Linked DNA regions of Daphnia pulex. The protein of the gene in region 1 interacts with the protein of each later gene in a biochemical or structural test. Links are inferred from orthologs where the notes say so. Each region holds a gene or a part of one and is shown on either strand. Other genes may lie near its edges.

Region 1 (10,157 bases):
TGTTTGTGTGTTTTGTTGACTTATTTGCAGTTGAGTTTGGCGAGCGTGACGGTGGATCAGGTTTTCACCAAAGTCGGTCGCTATCGCGGCACCATCGTCCGCACCAAGGAGCTCTGCTTCTCCAAGCGCTACGACATTGGACGCAAAACGATGAAGGAAATGCGTCTAATGCGCGAAATCCGTCACGACAACATCAACCCGTTCATCGGAGCTGCTGTCGAACCGTGTCGCATCCAGATCGTCTCCGAATACTGTCACAAAGGATCTCTACCGGTATGCAATCATCAATCAATCAATATCTAAACAAGCACTGCGAGCGAGCTGAGCAAAAGCCCGCGGAGCGCTAGATTTATCGCCGTCCATTAACCTGAGACTCGAAAGCAAAAGAGTCGTCGCCTAAATGGAAAAACATTTCGCCAGTGCTGCGCGGATGCCCATAGAGATAAGAGGCCTCAAAGTTATTCTTTTATTGTTTTTATACGACCATCAGGACATTTTGGAGAACGACGACATCAAGTTGGAGAATATCTTCATAGCCTCGATGGTCAACGACCTGATCAAGGGTATGACGCATCTCCACAAAACGGATCTACACTTCCACGGCAACCTCAAGTCATCCAACTGCGTCGTCACGTCGCGCTGGGTCCTCCAGATTACCGACTACGGCCTTCACGAGCTCCGCGCTGCCGCCGAGAAGGATTCCATCGGAGATCACGAACTCTACCGCAGTAAGTTTGATCGTGTCAATGTCATTTTCGCTGGAATTTCCCGTAGAACTTTGTTGTGTTTTTTTTTTTGGCACTTGTATTTCGAGACAAAATCGAACGTTTTTGGTGGACGAGAAAAATATGAGATCCATTCTTCCTTATTTTATTTATGTGGCGGCTTTGGCTCCTCTGCGCGCGTTATTCAAAATAGCTGGGCGCTTGTGATTTATTGCCGCTGATTCCCTTTTTTTCCTTCGCAAATATCTCTACGTGCGCGCAGAGCGTACGCCAAAATTGATGGGCTCATAAAGTTCAGATCTCGGTCGTTGAGCTTCATGTGTTATTGTTTTCTTCTTTTTGAACCCAACAGATTTGTTATGGAAGGCGCCGGAATTGCTGAACGACCAGTCCAACTCGGTTCGTGGCACACCAAAGGCTGACGTCTACGCCTTCGGCATGATCCTCTACGAGATTCTGACTCGGCAAGACGCTTTCACTGGCTACAAACTCGAGCCAAAAGGTTAGCGTTACATTATCCCACTCCCACCCACCCCAAAACAAACGCGTGACTCACCCACCCCATCATCGCAAATCACTTCGTTAGTCTTTCTATATAACTTTTTCGACTTTCTTTGCCCGATTTGAAAATAGACATCGTCGACAAGATTCGAACTGGCCCAGCTCCAGGAGAGAAACCCTTCCGTCCCGATATCCAGGTATACACAACTAAAACTATTACAAACTCACGCGTGCCGTTCTAATGGAGCGTGGATGTGTAGTTTATCACGCTGCACGGGTTTTTTGTTTACCTCCTCAATAATATACCAACGATACGCCGATTTATGGCCAGTCGGCTTTATTATCGATCGCCCCAGTCCTTTCACGAGCGTGAAAGATCTACTCTCATGAAATGAAATGAAAGAATCAGCTGGATGCTCTTTTTGCGTTGTTAAATACATTTTCGATCCTGCCGAGGATTCCTCCCCAACTTCTGGTTGGGGGAAACAACTGCCAAAGTCGTTTCGGCTCGTCAAGCCTATATACCGACATCCCCATATACATAGCCTTGAATTACTAGCATCATTTCCTCATCCGGCGGATTGCATTGAACGAAACTGCTGGCGCCGCGACAATGTTTTTCTTTTCTTTATTTTCTTTTTCTTTTTGTTTGATGAGTCTGTAGAGAAAACCCATAGAAAATGATCTCGAGATATATAGTATCTAGTTGTTGATGGCTACATTGACTTATTTATTCATTACCCCATTCTGTGTTTGTTAAAGATGCTCCAAGATTATTGCATTTTCGTGCAACCCGACATTGGAATGGGCTGTCCGGAGTACATTCGCTCTTGCATGGAGGATTGTTGGGCCGAGTCACCGGAGCAGCGCCCGGATTTCCCCACCATTCGCGATCGTCTTCGTAAAATGAGAGAGGGAATGTAAGTTATTATATATACGGTTACCCAGTTATTCTTCTTCTTCGTACTCAACACTATATAGGCACAGCAGTCGTCTTGTGTACTGTAGGCACATAATGACCTGGCGTCTGATATGATTTCTGACTTTTTGTTATCGTGGCCGTTTGGTCGATGCACAGGAAGCCGTTTATTATGGACCAGTTGATGGAAATGATGGTGATCTATGCCGGCAATCTCGAGCTCTTGGTCACCGAGCGGACCCAACTTCTCTACGAAGAGAAACAAAAGACCGAGGACCTCCTCCATCGCATGCTACCAAAGTCAGTCTGGTTTTTCAACCCCCCTTTTTTATTTTTATTATTAGCCACTCTTGCGAAATGAATAGACACACCCTTAAAAGAATAAGCTCTTAATGGCTGACATTGACATTGACAGACCCGTGGCTCAACGACTCACAAGAGGGTGGGGCGTCGAACCGGAATCCTACGAAGCTGTCACCATCTATTTCAGTGACATTGTTGGCTTCACCAAAATGTCGGCCGAGAGTACTCCGTTCCAGGTAATTCTTTTATTAAAAACTTGTAACTCGATTTAGATTTGACAATTTTGTGGGCGTTGTTTTCTCCGCAATTAGGTGGTCAACTTTCTCAACGATTTGTACACCTTGTTCGATTCCATCATCCAGGGTTACGATGTGTACAAGGTGGAAACCATCGGAGATGCCTACATGGTGGTAAGTCTCACAATATATACAACTTGTTTTCATTTTTGACTTAATTTCATCTAAAATTGGGTGAAAACAGGTTTCTGGATTGCCTTTACCCAACGGCGATCTACACGCCGGCATGATTGCGTCGATGGCGCTTGATTTGCTATCAGCAGTCAAGAATCATCGCGTGTCCCATCGACCTAAAGATCCAGTTTTACTCAGGATCGGAATTCACACCGGTACAATACACAAGTTTAAAATAAATACAAATAAAGGGTAAAAAACCATTTTTGTCGATATGATGAAACAGGTCCCGTGGTGGCCGGAGTAGTGGGTTTGACGATGCCCAGATATTGTTTGTTCGGCGACACGGTCAACACGGCTTCGCGGATGGAATCGAACGGCGAGCCCCTGAGGATTCACATCAGTTGCGAGTGTCGAAAGGCGTTGGAAAAGATCGGCGGTTACGTGACGGAAGAACGAGGACTGGTCGCCATGAAGGGCAAAGGCGAAGTGTTGACACACTGGCTGATTGGCGTCACAAGTGGAGCTGTTACAGCACGAGCGGACGTTGGACCCGATCAAGCGCCACTCTTTTGTCGCCCGTCTGGTGCCATCGGAGCAGCGAGTTCCAACGCCAACGGCAGTGCCGGCAACATGTCGGATCTTCGCCGGAGGAGTCCTCGAATGCTTCACAGGGCGGAATCGATGCTGACGAGGAGAGTGTCGTCCGATTCGAGGCCCGTTGGCAGCGGGAGCATTCGAATGAGCTCGTCGCTGGCTGCGCAACAAGGACGGACACAAGGCCAGCCCAACAGGATGTATCACCACGATAATTCGGCCGAATTGTTGGAGGGTTCCAATAGCGACTCGATATGCAGCAGCATCATCAGCACCAATCAACCTCCAACTCCGAAAGTATAAATTTCTCATTTTCTCCCTTTTGAAAGTTTCCATGGTAACACGTTCCATTTCTTTTTAAACAAAACAGCTTTTCGACAGGAAAACGAGCCAATCGGCTCGGTCTCTGCGTTCAGTTCGAACAACCAAGTCAAATGCAAGTCTACGGCGTAGTTGCCTATTAACGCGCAGCGCACATGCCAGCCAAGTTCAAATCGTTGCCGAGGGAGCGAGCGAGAGCGGTGATGTGGATTATCGGAGCGGAACAACAGCCAGTCCGCTGTTACCTCAAAGGCGATGCCAGTCACTCGGTCGATTTCCCGAAGACGAAGATGAACAACACCACCACCACCACCACCACCAGCATCAGGAGCAGCAGCAGCAGCAGCAGCAGAGAGCGGGCGGTTTGAGTTCGGTTAGTCATGGTCCCCGGCAGTTTCTCTGCGTTCCTCAAGTCTTCCCTTCTCGAAACAAGTCGAATCAGCGTCGCAGGAAAGAATCCAAATCCCTGGATCTTTTCCCGTCTGAATTGAGGTCGACTTTGATAGACCGGTCGCCGCTGCCCAGTTGCGCGTCGCAGGATGACACTGAAGACGAACATTCTCGACTTCTCAGCGACGATCACAACGTCGTCTTGACAATCCCGAACGGGGATCAACCGGAGCAAGCCGAATTGTCACGACCCAACGGACATATCAAGACTTCGGGCTACCAGGCCGTCAGGTTACTCCAAAACGACGACGAAGGGATTGACGTCAATTCCGAGACTCTGCTCAGTCGCGATCGCACTCGGCATCGGCCCAGTCTCACAGCCTGTGGATTGATGGAGTCTGAAAAGAGATACTCTTGTGAACAACTGGAACATTCGACATCGGGCGAGAGACTCGGTAAAGAAGGCAAAGACACGGTCATCGCCCCCACTGTTAGCAAGAGCGTGCCCAACGTCAAGCGGTGGATAGTCAATCTGTTCGGCGTGGGTCACGGAGGTGATGCTTTTAGTCGGAATCCGCAGACGGGAGAGGACTTTTCCGACCTCCACCGTGATGACAGAGAAAGCGTTGTGTGAAATTGCGCCTCCTTATTCTTGCATCCTCCACAGTCTTTTTACATGATGACAAATTTGCTTTACTTGTTTCGTGATTCGTATATTTCGCCATTTGAAAATGCCATACCCGATCTCCGATTCTTCTCGGTTAAGATTTTTAATCGATTTCAAGTCGGAATGTTTTCTTTGATTTTAGTGTATCTGTAATATTGTCGCTGCTGAAAATATTGTGATAAATCGGTTGTTGTTTTACATACCTTGTTTTGCACTTTGTACATCGATAACCCATTTAGTTCAAATTTTAATCAGGTAAGAGAGCCTTTGATGAATTCTAGTAGTTAAAAGAAGTTTGGTCTTCATAATCAGATATTCGCCAGATAAAACGCATATCAACAAAGTAGGTCACAACCAAATAAAATAGTCAAGTGACGTAATTGAAAAAAAAAAAGGTCAACAAGTGTTACACCTTACTTAGCGTTTTATTTCAGATCGGAGTATGTTTTCTGGACGATAAGTAAGTATTGAAATGAAGACAATAAGAATTTTTAAAAAACAAATAGAGCACGTGGAAAAGAAAAAGAAGTTAACTTATTCCTTGACAGCTGGATTTACTTGGGAAATTAAGACAGCAAATCAGTGGTGGCAGCCATAGCCTTGGCTTGTGCTCTAACACGTTTTTCGTACTCCATTCGATTTTGACTGGAGAAATAATCAAATGAAATATTACAATCCAAACTTTCAAGTTGTCTACTGGTGTAAAAATCATTACCAGTAGATAGTATAAGCTTCTGCCTGAGCCGGATCCTTAATATTGGGGTCATTTAGGAGATCTTGAATTCCAAGCAAAATCTGTTTGATGGTAATTGCAGGTCTCCAGTCCTTTTCTTCATCCAACAATGATAGACAAACTGTGCCTGGATATTAAATGCCAAAAGGTTAGCTAAAACAAAACACTCAAATAGCCATTTGATTCAACCTGATGGATAGACGTTTGGATGGAAAAGTGGGGGCTCAAATTTGCATTTTGGAGGAGAAGAGGGGTAGTCATCTTTAAAAATCATACGGATTTTGTACAATCCATTTTCCCAGGGAGTCTGTAAATGTATGCACAAGTTACACTTAATATTGTTACTTCAAACAACAGTGAATTTGGTAAGTATATCTGACACCAATGTGAAGTAAGATCTTTAAGTGTAAAACTCATTACCGATTTCTTGCCTGGAATAGCACATTCCCAGTTCATCAAATTGAGGGTTCCATCAGGATTCTTTGTGGGCCTGGCAACAAAACCCTAAAGGCAACGCAAAGATACACAAATCAAACACACACAACCCAACAACTATCGTTTGGCAAACCAGCAACTTACAAAGGGATGGTCTTTCCTCCAGCCTTTACGTTCCTCAGAAAGTCGAGCAATAGCAATACCGGACATTATTGGTCACTAGAGAATAAAAATTTCAGTGTGATGTAATAAGAAAGTGTGAATATGACTGAAGAAAGCAAGATGCAACAGCTCTTAAATAAATAATAGTTACCTTTTTTCAACGGCTGCCAAATAATTTAGCTGTGTAGTTTCGTACAATTATTGCCAGGGTTGCCTTAAGGTAATTCGAATAATTACAAATCAATTTAAAATTTAATTTGGGGATTTAAACGAATAAATGATGAAACATTTGCATGTAAAATATGGATTTCAATGAAATCAAACCATTTTGGCTGTAGCATGCATAAGCATTTTTAGTTTTAGTTTTCATCAACTAAAATTAAAAATGAACTGGCTATGCTGCCACTGCCTATGAAAGATGGCGCCCAGATGGTTCAAAAAACAACAGAGCAGTGAGTCACACAGGCATGCATCTTAAGTTCTTGTATTTTGTTTAAATTCCAAATTGAAAAATCAAGTGTTAAAAAAAATCATTGATATCTTCCATCTCATGTAGCTTTGATCGTTCAACATTCGAGACAAGCCAAGCGTCGTTTACGTAATGCTTCCAGAATATTCGAACACGTGAATCAACTAGTGACAAACCACAAAGGTATCACACGAAGACAAAACGAAAAAAGGTGCAAACAACCATGTCTCGAATGAATTAAGAATGATATAATCTCTAATCCTAAAGCCTCAGTTCAGTTTAACTTTGTGGATGGGGAAACTACAAAATTGATATAGAATGTTCAGAAAGGTATGAAAACATCAGTTAATTTGTCATATTAGGTCACAAACTCTAAATTTATTAAATGAAGATCTGTTATTCCCTATTATGGTTGTTTCAGCTAGGTACTTCTCGCATAGAAGGGTTGAATGTGTTAGTGCCAAAGTGGAAGGGAATGAAACATACTTGGGTATCTCAAAGCGGAAAATATCCTGTTAAATACTCATTAGATATGATGTATTGGTGATTTCACAAAACAATAGTGCTTGAATCACTATTTTGTATAGTTCAAAGATTATTACATGTGCCAGTTTTTAAACTAATTTCTTGCTTGGAAACGTAGTGTGCTATGTAATATTGTTGTGAGTCTGTCTTTATTTTTACCATTGCACTGAATAACAAATGACTCCTGAAGGGCTCAGGAAGATGCTTCTGAGAAAGTTAACTGTCAAGTAATAGAATAATGTCCATATCTAAAAAAATCTTTTGAATATAACTCCTCGTCAGTATTGGCTGTTACAGAGAAATGTCAATCATATTATAGAGCATAATTGTAAATGTTTTATTTCAGATTACTAACTATAATTTTATTATTAGGCGTAACCAATGAGTACTGGGGAATCGCGTCTTGAAAGCTTCGTGTTCCCTTCACATATTCGCACGTTTGAATGCAAATATATGGCGTTGCATGAAAGGAGATTACTGTCACCAAAGTGAGCAGGTATGTGGAAAGTAAATTTCTTTATGATAATGATATTTTATCAATAAATTAAAGATCAAAATGTTGATTTAAAATGAGCTGATAATAAAAAATTGAAATGTAAATTTTGTGACAAACGTTTATATTCCTGTAGCCAATGTAACAGACATCTAAGATTGGGATTTCAGACTACAGAAAGGACGACCAACAACAAACATCAATCGTTGTAGCCAGTGCGGTAGCAAGAATGAGGGATAGATAATTAGACAACATTAACAGAATAAGTAACGGATTATTCTGCTGTAAGACGTATGCCAGTGACTCATCCCACAATGCAGCTTTATTGATTTAATCCTTGGATTGCATGTACTTGATCAAATCGACGACACGGCACGAATAACCAAATTCGTTGTCGTACCATGAAATCAGCTTGACGAAAGTTTTGTTGAGAGCAATGCCTGCAGCAGCATCGAAGATGGAAGAGTGGTTGTCACCAATGAAGTCTGTGGAGACGACCTACAAAAAATCTCACGTTATCAATCAACTTTAATGTAAAATGTTTCTAATGATGTTACCTCCTCATCGCAGTAGCCCAAAATACCCTTCATCGGGCCTTCAGCTGCTGCTTTAACGACAGCCTTGATTTCGTCGTAGCTGGCTTCCTTGGACAGGCGGCAGGTCAGATCAACAACGGAGACATCGTGGACGGGTACGCGGAAAGCCATACCGGTCAATTTTCCGTTCAGTTCAGGAATGACTTTACCTACGGCCTTGGCAGCACCAGTAGAGGCAGGAATAATGTTCTGGGCAGCACCACGGCCATCACGCCACAACTGCAATGATCGAATATTCAAAAGGTTAGTATGTGATCATTTTTTTTTTCTCCAAAAGTATTTTACCTTTCCAGAAGGTCCATCGACGGTTTTCTGGGTTGCAGTGATGGCATGGACAGTGGTCATCAAGCCTTCAATGATACCAAAGTTGTCATTGATAACTTTAGCCAGAGGAGCCAGGCAGTTGGTGGTGCAAGAAGCATTGGAAACAATCTTCATGGAAGGATCATATGCTTCAAGGTTGACTCCAACAACAAACATGGGGGCATCAGCAGATGGGGCAGAGATGATAACTTTCTTTGCTCCTCCATCAATGTGAGCCTGGGCCTTGTCCAAAGTGGTGAAAACACCAGTGGATTCAACAACATATTCAGCTCCAGAAGCTCCCCATGGAATGTTCTTGGGGTCACGCTCGCTGAAGACCTGAATGTGATGTCCATTGACAACAAGCTTGCCACCTTCTTCCTTCACTTCTCCCTTGAAGCGGCCATGGGTAGAGTCATACTTGAACATGTACACCATGTAGTCAAGAGTAATGAAGGGATCATTGACAGCAACAACCTAAAATCCCAAAATGTCAGAATGAGTGAAATCATTAATATTTTAATTAATTATGTTTTACCGTAGCTCCCTTTTCGATGCAAGCGCGAAGCACCAAGCGGCCGATACGACCGAATCCGTTAATACCGATTTTCGACATCTTTAGGTGAAGTTGAGGAGGTGATAACTGCTCAAGGTAACAAAAAATTAAATTAAAAACTCCATTTGCCTAATTTAAACGTTAAATTTAGCATAGCAACAGTAAAACTATTGATTTGTCAAAAACAGCTGTTCTCAGCAGATGACGCAAAACCACATTTTACCGGATTTAAACATTAACATTTGGTCTTGTGTAGTTTTATATATATACTTTGACTAGTAGAAAGTATAAAATCAGTAAAGGTTAAGTTGAAGGAGTCTTTGGATCTAAAAATAGGCAGGACAAGATCAATACATCTCCACTGTAGAAAATACTGTATAGTGTTTTGGGGAGAGGTAGAAGCCCTTGTATTGACCTTCAAGCGTCCCGCCCGTCGACGTGACACGCACACCGGAATTTTCCGTAAAATCGACAATTTCGTCGAACAAATTTAGAATAGTTTTCAGCTAACAGATAATTTATTTATAGTTGCTTTCGAATGTTCTAGAGTGCTGGAAATTTTTATAGCCGCCATTTTCCCTAACCATGAAAGTTTGGTGCGTGAATATATCATGCACGACGAGCAAAACACACGATGGTAATATAAAAGCTAACTTAGCGTAACAATTGGAAAATTTAGTATACTATCAATCTGAATCAATTAAAAGTTATAAAAATTGGAACTAAAGATTTCTTTGTCGTTTTAAAACTAGTTAATGTCTAGTACTTAATACTCTAATAGTCTAACATGAATTCCAATTACTATTAGCGAGTGCCATGAATTTCTAAGATACTTTCAAGTAAAAAAATTACTCTTAAATGAGACTCGGAGACTCACCTTGTTGTTAGGATTGCGTACAGGGCACGTCTGTGATATCGAACCGGCGTTTCGAGTCCTCAATACCTCGGCGGGATTGCCTAGCCAAAGTCGAAGCGAACTCTAGTTTAGGTAGTTAGCGCTGCAAAGAAAGACGAGCGCTGCTTTTATTTTGGCTCGAGCCGACAAGGGCAAA
Region 2 (9,863 bases), on another chromosome or scaffold:
TATTACGAATGCTTACGGTACGGTCTATTTAGACATGGCATCAGACCACTTAGGTCCACCATGACTGCTTAGGTGTCACTGTTTCAAATATTTTTTTTATGAACGACATACAGAGGGTATTTATTAATTTTATCTGATAACTCTCTCACGACAATATATACAGTATTACATATAATAACTACTCGCAGCACTGATCACAATAAGCAAAATCAGTGATTATACGGAATGAAAATGGCTTATTTTTTAAAAGTTAACTGCTTTTGTCAGTTTGTGTTGATAATTCGATAACAGCTGATAAATGTCATGCTGCGGCAAGCCCACATAAAAGTGACTCGAAATTGCTCACTTTTAGCTTTGGCTTGACGCAGAGACAGTTCTCTCTCATTCTTGGAACCCACAGTTTGTTTCCGAGATCGTCCCATCTTCTTCAGAAGCTTTACGTCCGCCTCCTCAGTCGGACCATCTGAAGAAAGAATGAGAACGTTCTGGTATTTGATTTCGGCGACGGCCGTCATTTTGCTTCATCCGGTAGCCACCCAGACGCCTCAACAGCCAGGAGCGACCGCAGCATCTCTCATCACGTGAGTAAAAATTTTATCATATTAGTTGGGCATGGCAAGTCTTCCTCATTGTGTACATTTGCAGTTTTCTCCATTATTACAAGATGATGGCTAGCATAAAGGGATATGTGATGTATAGAAAGCTTTAAGATTAAATTTTCCTTCTAACCAGCGGTCGGGGAAGGTTTGGGTGGGGAAAAAATCAGCAAAGTCTCTTTCGAGTACTCCTTTTTGCGCTCAAAGACGTACACACTGCCGTATCCAATTACCTCTATGCTATCCGCCTCATGGGGGTCTATCTAGTTGCTCAAAACAACCTTGCCCTCTTTCTTTTTGCGCTCCCATCGTTGCTCTGGAATTAATAGTTGTTGAAAAGTCTGCTGAACACATGTGCTGCTAACAACAAAAACAAGAATATGCCATTTACTTGTGAAGCGCTTGAACGGAAATTCTAGCTCGCCATGGGCCGTATATGCGGCCGGCGGTAAGGGGGTTGTCTGAGTCTCCAGATTTGACCATAGATAATAAAGATTCATAAATGTTTGATTTCTTTTATTCAAACACGTGGATTGAGTAGCTCAATGAACAAAACCGAAGAAACAACGCCCATTTCCTGTTGTGGGAACTTGCCGGCGATATGACAGAGTGACAGAGGTCGCCGTTTCCCTTTCGATTTGAAATAAGTCGATGATGTCGCTCGTGTCATCCTTGTTTCCAAGTGAATTGAAGTCTTCCCGCTTCCTCGAATTCCTCAATGCCTTGACCTCAATCGACAACATTTTAAAAGATTCTAATCGTAGGCATGGTGATGTCATTTGCCATGCGAATTAGGCTATAACTCGTCTCTTTTCCCAATCTGCGGTAAATAACACATCTAATCGAGTTTCGAAATGGTAGGCATTCGGACATCAGGGACGCTATTTTGACGCTGGTCGGAGCAGTTAGAGAGCAGACGGGCAAGCTCGAACGCCACGAACTTCGTGAGAGGCAGCTGGGAGATGCCCTGACGCGTTCCCTTAGAGATCTTGATTCACGAACACGTGGTCAAGATAAGAATCTGGAGAACCTGGCTATCCTCATGGCCCGAACCGATGAGCGGCTCCGTAAGATGGAAGAAATGGTCATACAGGTAACTTCAAGTCGATCTATAATTAAAGGTCAAATATCAACCACAATATTTTATATCAGAGGGACGAGAGAGAGAGAATTCAACTCCAGAAAATCACTGACAATACAGTGGCTATCCGCAATGGAATTGAATCCGGAAGAAGTGCCGGTGCTCCTAGTGGTCCTGCTCCGGCAGCCGCTTCAACTGGAGATCTCGGCGAAGTACTGAAACAGCTGACTCGCACTCGTAAAAAGGTGGAGAGCGTGGAAGAATCATTGCAAAACCGTCTGTCAGTTGTGGCTAACGAAGTAAGTATTAAGAAAATTAATCCAGTCAAGATCGCGAGTGAGAGCTACATGCTGTTAACTTCCTAGGTGAAAATCGTTGGAGAAAAGTACGAAACGCGCAGTGAGAGACTAGAGAGCTTACAGTTGACTACCATGGAGAACCTGGGCAAAGCTCAAGCTGGCGATGCCGAGAAATTGCGAGCTGCATCTGTCAATCTGGTGGCTACGGAAGGCAAATGGCGACAGTTTTTCAGCGATGCTCAGAATCTGGTCAACCAGTTTGGAGTTGGTGTCAACCGCATTTCTGATCACGTATACGAGTTTCAGAGTTCATTCTTGAGAACAGATGTCAATGAAAATTTCATGATTGCATCCAGGCGAGTCGAATGAAGAATGACACTTCAGCCATCTTAGTCGGTATTGAAAAGCTGGAGACATCTTTGGAGAATTCCGGATCGTCTTCCGGATCGCAGAGCAATCCTGAGGCCCTTGTTTCCGCTATTCAAGTCCATCTGAAACCAACGCTCGATGCTGTTCATTCACTGGTCAACGACTCGTACCAGTCACAGATGAAACTAGACGAAAACTTCAAAGAAGGTTGGCAATCTTTGTCACGCGGAATTGACAAAGGTGTGATGAATGTCACCGATGTGTTTCAAACTCGACTTGGAGCATTTGAACACAAAATGAGTGAGAGTCAGAAGCTTATCCAAGACCAGGTAATGCCAATAATCTCTTTCACAATCAAATAATAATTGAATATCATTACCACATGATAATTTTTCATGAATTAGGTGGAGGAATCTGGAAATATGGCCGAGACATTGGCCGACAGGGTGGACAAAAGCTATGCAAGTCTTGCCAAAGAAATTCACGGGTTGCAAAAAGTAGAACAAGTACTTCTCGACACGGCTGATGGAGTTCTTGATACGAAACGACGTCTCGAATTTGCCGTCCAGCAAATTTTGCTTGAATTGGGCGACTCAATCCGCAGACAAACGGGCGATCTGAACTCGACATTAGCCCGCAAGGTCGACGACGTCACCTTCTCGGTCATCAAAGATCAAAGTACCGCACTTACTAACATGACAAGTAAACTAGAAAATGAACTCGGACAGGTACACGGACTATAAAAATGATTTTACTTTTATTATTAGTTTTTTTTTTCCCTATTTACTAATTTATAGAATTCATTTCTAAAATCATCTAGGTCTGGCGTCAGATTGGCGTGCTATACCAGAGCGCCAGTCAATCACAAGAATTGTTGCAACGAGTGGAACAGCAGACAGCCCAACACGTCGGCGGTAGTCTTCAAGCTCTCAGCAGCATGGACAAAAGAGTTGGCCAGGTACGAATATCTTCGAACGACATTATTATGAAATTGATTAATGAACTTTGTTATAGGTAACGGAACGGGTCAACGAAGTTGACGACCATTTGAACTTTTTGCTGGGCCGCTTGTCGTTAGTAGTGCAGGAATTCAATCAAGTGAGGGGTGGATTGGGTGAGGCTCTCGAATCACTTCGTTCAGGACTTGCAGTCACAGGCCAACAGCCAAGTACGACGGCCGGTAAATCCTCTTCACCTCCTTATGACGTTTCCAGTGGTCCAGTACCCAATCAAGAGGACGTCACCGTTATCACGCGGAAAGAGAATATTAATAACGACAGCGACGAGAATTGAAATTGAATTGCTCATTCGTGACTGAGCTGTAGACAATAGCATTGAGCTTCTTTGCAAAATTGAGAACAGTAGACATTCGTAGACTTAACTCTAGTTTAATTTTTATGTAGTCACAACTTTCATTTCGGACGAAACACATAAAATATAAGTACAGTGCTCATTGAGTAGAATCAACCCCACTCTATTAGCCAAAGTAGATTCTCATCGTACGCAACCAAATAAATTACCGCCAAGTTTTTAAAATCCTATCAATCAAACAATACAAAAAATACGGTCTGTATTCGTTCCTGCGGCGAACGAAGATTAATTGAATTCCACGCCACATGTCTCACATAATAAGTTGCTCCTGCTGCGTGTGTCAACTGGATAATGCACCTTCTGCCTCCGTTCTATTTTTTTCTCATTCAAATGTGAATTGTACACTCGTTGCCAAAACAAATAATACATTAGATACACATTTGTATATGAATCACACGGCTAATACTTGAATCAATATGACACATGTTTCGTATCTTTTTTGACAATTTGACAATCGTGTGGCTTAGTGAGTTGTACTTTTTTCCTCTCTAGTTCTATATTGCATTATAGCATGGATGAAGTCAATACAGGAAACGAACAAGTTTTGACAAAGATTGATTGGCTTCCTCGTCTGACTGTTGTTCAACTACCGAAGGATCAGTGCAATGCTTAAAAAATATTTCTGTAAAGAAGAGGCATCATCTTGTATAATAAAATTTATCTTGTTGTAATAAAACCCCCAAACCGTCTCAAAGGTAAGGTTTTATTTCATACTAAAGCGCAATAATCTAGAACAAAATAATTTGTACAACAACGCATTAATAGCTATATGGAATTAATTAATAAAAATGGCAATAAATTCGACTCCTAAAATGAAAATGACGCTGTTGGAAATTTTTCGTTGGGTTAGCAACAAGTTTGACTACTAAAAAAAATTGCTCGAATTCCAGTGGAAGGTTTACAGAATCAAACCAAAATTTAACATTCATTCAAAAATATCTAATAAAATAGTCTTCTATAATTTCGGTTTGCTGTACTCCATAAGACACAACTTGTCAGTAAGCAAGAAATTTTCTTAAAATTCCCCTGGAATAGGATGCTATTGGTCGATTAATACTGGTGTGTCGCTCATTCAAAAGAACGAAGTCAGCAAACAGAAAAAAATCCGACGATGCGAAACTGTAACTGTAACAACACAAATTATTTACTACCTACAGATGTCGCAACAATGTTCCTTTTTTTATTACGACAGCATTATCAATTCGTACAGGGAAAACCAGCAGTCGTCCCGCCATTTAATAATTCAAGTCATCAACTCACCAAATTCGATTCTAGTTTGCTAACTGATTATTGGAGTAACTCGTTTCTATGCTGCGGTTGGCATTTACAATCTCAGCAAAAATTTTTATGGAGTGAGTGCTATGGACGTAGTGACGGCTGTAAACCTATTAATTCATGAAACATTAATATGATGTATGATTATCAAATTAAATTAAGGGACATCAACTGCACGCACACGTTGCTAATAATCATCCATAACGATTGCTAACTGTGTAATAATTGCTTAAGCAGCCAAAATGTAGTCGAAGAAGATCTCAATTTATATTTTTATTGAATCAAGCCATTGGATATCATCAGTCTTAATTTTAAATATTATCAATCCCAAATTACATATTGTGCAATTGTTTCAAGCAAAATATTCTTCAAAGCAGCAAAAAATTTAAAAAAAATCCTACAAATTTTATTAATATATTCCAATTTATTTAAAAAAAGTTTTTTAATTTAAAAAAATGTACTCATTTCATACGTGGCCGGCCGTTGTTAAAATAAGTTTTTAGTGCAGTGCCGGCATCCAGACGTATATAGCTGGTGCGGCAACGTTTATTCTCGGCGCTTTTTTGGCCCACGCCATTATTCATTATTCTTCAATAGAGTCGTCTCAAACGTGCTGCTAGTTTTAGAAAAAGAACTTGTTTTAACCATGGCTGATGTAAGCACGTAACTATCTATGTTACTTTTTAAGTATTGCTAAATTTACCCCATTCGTTTCTTTTTCCATAAAATTTGTTTTCACGTGTTGTCTTTGCTGGATAGTCGATTTTTTTTTAGTTCTGATCATGTGTTCGATATTTTAACTGTTTGCCTTTGCATTACCCTATACCAATTTGGCTAACTGTGGTTTCTATTTTTAATATACAGGATCAGAAACCTGATGCCGGTGATGCAGGATCAGAGTACATCAAATTGAAAGTTGTTGGCCAGGATTCAAATGAAATTCACTTTCGAGTAAAGATGACGACACAGATGGGCAAACTCAAGAAGTCTTATAGTGAAAGAGTGGTAAGGGTTTTTCCTGTCATTTTTTTTTTCACTTATTGATAAAGATTTTCTTTGTGTTCAGGGTGTGCCAGTTACTTCGCTGAGGTTTTTGTTTGATGGAAGGCGAATTAATGATGATGAAACCCCTAAACAGGTATGTTGTGTCTAATGCACTTAGCTGATGTGTTAAATGATATGCAAGTAATGAATTTCTGTACTGCTGTTCTAGTTGGAAATGGAGAATGATGATGTCATTGAGGTTTATCAGGAACAAACTGGTGGCAATTAATTTAAGAACCTCGATGCATTCATGGAAAACTTTCCACATTTTCTGGACAAAACTGTCTTTTAATTTCCAATGTTGTCATCAAAATATCGCCCTGCTTTCTGTTCTTCATTTCCAATCGAATAAATAAAACCATTTTCGTAACCGAGAATGATCCTTTCGTTAACTTATGGGCACTCTGCCACTTGTTTCTATCAACTTGTATTGCTATGAATATTGACATCAAAGTTCAAGGATGAAAGGTCTTGACTTCCATTTCTTGCTTTTGATCGCAAAGTGCGTACAAACCTTTTCGAGAGAGGATGCATTGCACAACGCTGTTGCTTGGTAAAAATAAATTGTCAATCAAGAATTTATAATATACTTTATTTTGTGTTGTTCAGTTGTACTAGTAGTAGGTGCAACAAGTTGTAAAATTCCCAAAAGTTATAAACCACTTTGTGGGGTTAACGGGATTTCCTACACGAATCTGAAGGCTTTACAGTGCCATAATAAGGCTAGCCCTGGAAACAGTAGGCTATTTGAAATATTCTTTTTTAGGAAATGGTTCCATCCGTGTTGAATTTGTTTGGTTTTCTCAGTGATTCGAATAGCTTATAAAGGACGCTGTCTTCGACCTGATATTCGTGAATGTAACTATTCTTCAGTCGTGAAAAATGTCTGCGGCAACGACGGGCTTACCTATCTGAATCCCGCAATGGTTGCATGCAAGAACAAATTACAGCCTAAAAAACGTATATTTTTATATCATACATAATTAAACGATGCACAGTTGATATTTTTATGACATTTTAGAGGTGAAGATTATTAGCAAGGGCAAATGTAAAAGTAAAACAAACGCTCGAAGAAGAAAAGTGCCAAATAAAACAGTGAGACCCGGAAACGTCACGGGACCAAAGCAGAAATAGGATTACTCCCCCAAAACCTCACTTCGTTCGTTATAACTTGTATCATGCCAAATTAGACTCTAAACTCTCAAAGTCAATATATGTCAATAAACATGACCAACTTCTGTTTAAAATAAACGGCTGGGTTCTGACAAGAGATCCGTGTTACTAATGTGTCAACTATGCCACAATGCCGGCTCGTCATTCAATTTTCTCGTGCCATGTACTATATTTTTTAAAAAATTCGCCGGGTTTCATTTCTCAAAATAGTTCAGATTAATGCAAGCATTCTTAACAGTCGGCGGCCGTTTTTCAAGGAAGACGGATCTACTAAGATGACGTGTTAAGTTCGTGCACAATACGAAAAGTGCCTTTAATCCTTTTTTTAAAAGACAAAACATATGGTTAATAAGCGCATCGGCTTCCAACATACTCGATAGAGTGGGAATCAAACAAGTCACGTGACTTGGACTGTGCTATAAAATTCGATCCAAGCATTATTTTAAAAAAATGTCTCCCTTACTCACGCCTCTAGTGTATACAACTTCCAACTATTAATAATAGTACTAGATGTCTTGATTTTGTATAAAAAAGGTAAATCCTATTATGAGCTATCCAATCCTCTTGATTGAAAATAAATTTTACAAATAATTGTAATGACAAATATGAACATGCAGTTAACAATTAACGTTCTAATTCTTTGATAGTGTTTTTGTTTTTAGTCACTAGGAGCGCATGAGACAAGCTTAAAGGTGAGTGGGCGAGTCTCTACGATTTCCAGAAGAGGGTCGGGCACAGCTTTTTCTACTTCATACTTTTTGACGTGGCAACGTAACGTTGAATAGCTAGTTGAAAGAGGTCTTCGTCCGCCATTATTAACCCTCTGCTCGTAGTCTAATTCGGGCTCGTTCATTCTTTGGAATCCGTTGCGTTCGATTCAGAGTCCGTAAGTTACCTTCACCACATTTACTAAAGAGTCGAATATGTCAACTTCTAAGTGTATTAATAATTAGTTCATTTTGCGAAGCACTTGTAATTGTATGTCGTGTCGAGTCGGTTCTGCCACTCCACAAACTTCACCGAGTCGGCGTTGAGCAAGGGTTTGACAGTTGCTCAATGTCTAGCTTCAGTTTAGTCATTAGTTAGCAAAGATATATCTTTGTAACATTTTCCAGTGATTCTAATTGCCATTCTTCCTTTTTTAGGTTATATTCTTAAGTTATTCCATCCAACTTTGCAATGGGAAACGTTTTCGCCACCCTGTTCAAAGGCCTATTTGGCAAAAAGGAAATGAGAATATTGATGGTTGGACTTGACGCAGCTGGTAAAACTACAATTCTCTACAAACTCAAGTTAGGTGAAATCGTCACAACAATTCCCACAATTGGTAATTTATTCAATTTTCAGCAAATTTGACTTGCAGTTTTTATCATGTAATTTGTTTTTATTCCCAAGGTTTCAATGTAGAAACAGTTGAATATAAAAACATATCTTTCACTGTTTGGGATGTTGGTGGCCAGGACAAAATTCGACCATTGTGGAGACATTACTTCCAAAACACACAAGTATGTTTATTAAGCTAAAAATTTGAGTGACTTTTCTAATTGTCCATTACAATCTAGGGTCTCATCTTTGTAGTTGATTCTAACGATCGTGAGCGTATTGGTGAAGCCCGAGAAGAGTTGATGAGGATGCTGGCCGAAGATGAACTCCGTGAAGCCGTGTTGCTTATTTTTGCAAACAAACAAGTATACTTGTCTTTCATTTTCAAAAATGTTTTGACAACAATGACATCATTATTATCCTTGTATTCAGGATTTGCCGAACGCTATGAACGCCGCCGAAATCACAGATAAACTTGGACTTCATTCTCTGCGCAACCGTAACTGGTATATCCAAGCAACCTGTGCCACCAGTGGAGATGGACTTTACGAAGGGCTTGACTGGCTTTCAAACCAATTGAAAAATGCGTCGCGCTAAAGAAAAGAAGATAAAAAGAAACAAGATTTTCAAATTCATATTTTTCAGCTCTAGTAATCCTTGCCTCTCGGCCTCCTTCGCCACCTTTCATCTTTTTTTTTTTGCCCCCCTTCCATCGAGAGTAAGAAAAAGGAAGGCAAACACTTCTGATCCTACTTGAGGGTCCTCTCGCTGCTCTTACAAGGGACATTCCTGGTTTATTCATTTCAGATAAATTCTTTTTTCTCTTCAAAAATGGAAGTAAGCTTTTTTTTTTCTAATGTTCGTAATCGGTTTATTAGCACTTGAGGCAAGGACGTCTGTATATTGAGAACCAAAAAGGCGATTTAAAAAAAGCAGCGGTACTGAACAAGTGTTGCCACCTTTTGTTTCTGTTTTTCCGTGTGCTACAGTTAGGCCCTCATCATCCTCCATCTTTTTCATCCCTTCTATTTTAAATCTAAATTTGTCTTGTGCAAAAAAAGGTAAAATCTTGAGTACGCCAGCAAACATAATCGATACCAACGATGAACAGTCCCCCTTTATTTTCTATTTCCATTTTGTTGTTTCCTCTTTATTAGTTATCTTTTTCGGTTAATCTTGGAAAAGATCTTGGAAAAGAAACAAATGGGACGAGAACATCGCGAGTTTCTCTCAGTGTGCTGGGTGATTCCAGCTGGATATGTGCTGTTTGTTGCATACAAGGCAATACACATCTGCCCAGCCGTTTACGTTCTGTTTAATGTAAATTGTCAT

Evidence for each region.
Region 2: of the proteins of SUMO-conjugating enzyme UBC9-B (region 1) and small ubiquitin-related modifier-like, one has a biochemical effect on the other in vitro, tested with the Drosophila melanogaster proteins (2 studies listed by BioGRID). The link is inferred for Daphnia pulex from reciprocal best matches to the Drosophila melanogaster genes lwr and Sumo.

The regions. Positions count from the first base shown.
Region 1 is NC_060018.1:630,205-640,361, reverse strand, and holds SUMO-conjugating enzyme UBC9-B, read right to left. Parts: upstream 6,468-10,157; 5' UTR 6,315-6,467; exon of another isoform or gene 6,221-6,314; 5' UTR 6,212-6,220; coding exon 6,146-6,211; intron 6,071-6,145; coding exon 5,987-6,070; intron 5,874-5,986; coding exon 5,756-5,873; intron 5,694-5,755; coding exon 5,549-5,693; intron 5,479-5,548; coding exon 5,400-5,478; 3' UTR 5,240-5,399; downstream 1-5,239. Other genes in the region: receptor-type guanylate cyclase Gyc76C-like, read left to right, coding at 31-273, 491-728, 1,078-1,227, 1,359-1,423, 1,989-2,146, 2,305-2,445, 2,561-2,684, 2,760-2,858 and 3 more; glyceraldehyde-3-phosphate dehydrogenase 2-like, read right to left, coding at 7,981-8,148, 8,208-8,465, 8,532-9,026, 9,088-9,165.
Region 2 is NC_060017.1:273,997-283,859, reverse strand, and holds small ubiquitin-related modifier-like, read left to right. Parts: upstream 1-5,484; 5' UTR 5,485-5,637; coding exon 5,638-5,646; intron 5,647-5,855; coding exon 5,856-5,996; intron 5,997-6,057; coding exon 6,058-6,129; intron 6,130-6,204; coding exon 6,205-6,264; 3' UTR 6,265-6,412; downstream 6,413-9,863. Other genes in the region: putative leucine-rich repeat-containing protein DDB_G0290503, read left to right, coding at 475-581, 1,458-1,689, 1,749-1,976, 2,043-2,267, 2,333-2,674, 2,750-3,073, 3,166-3,303, 3,360-3,638; serine protease inhibitor dipetalogastin-like, read left to right, coding at 6,564-6,588, 6,645-6,773, 6,843-6,995, 7,057-7,169; ADP-ribosylation factor 1, read left to right, coding at 8,388-8,535, 8,604-8,713, 8,771-8,896, 8,964-9,128.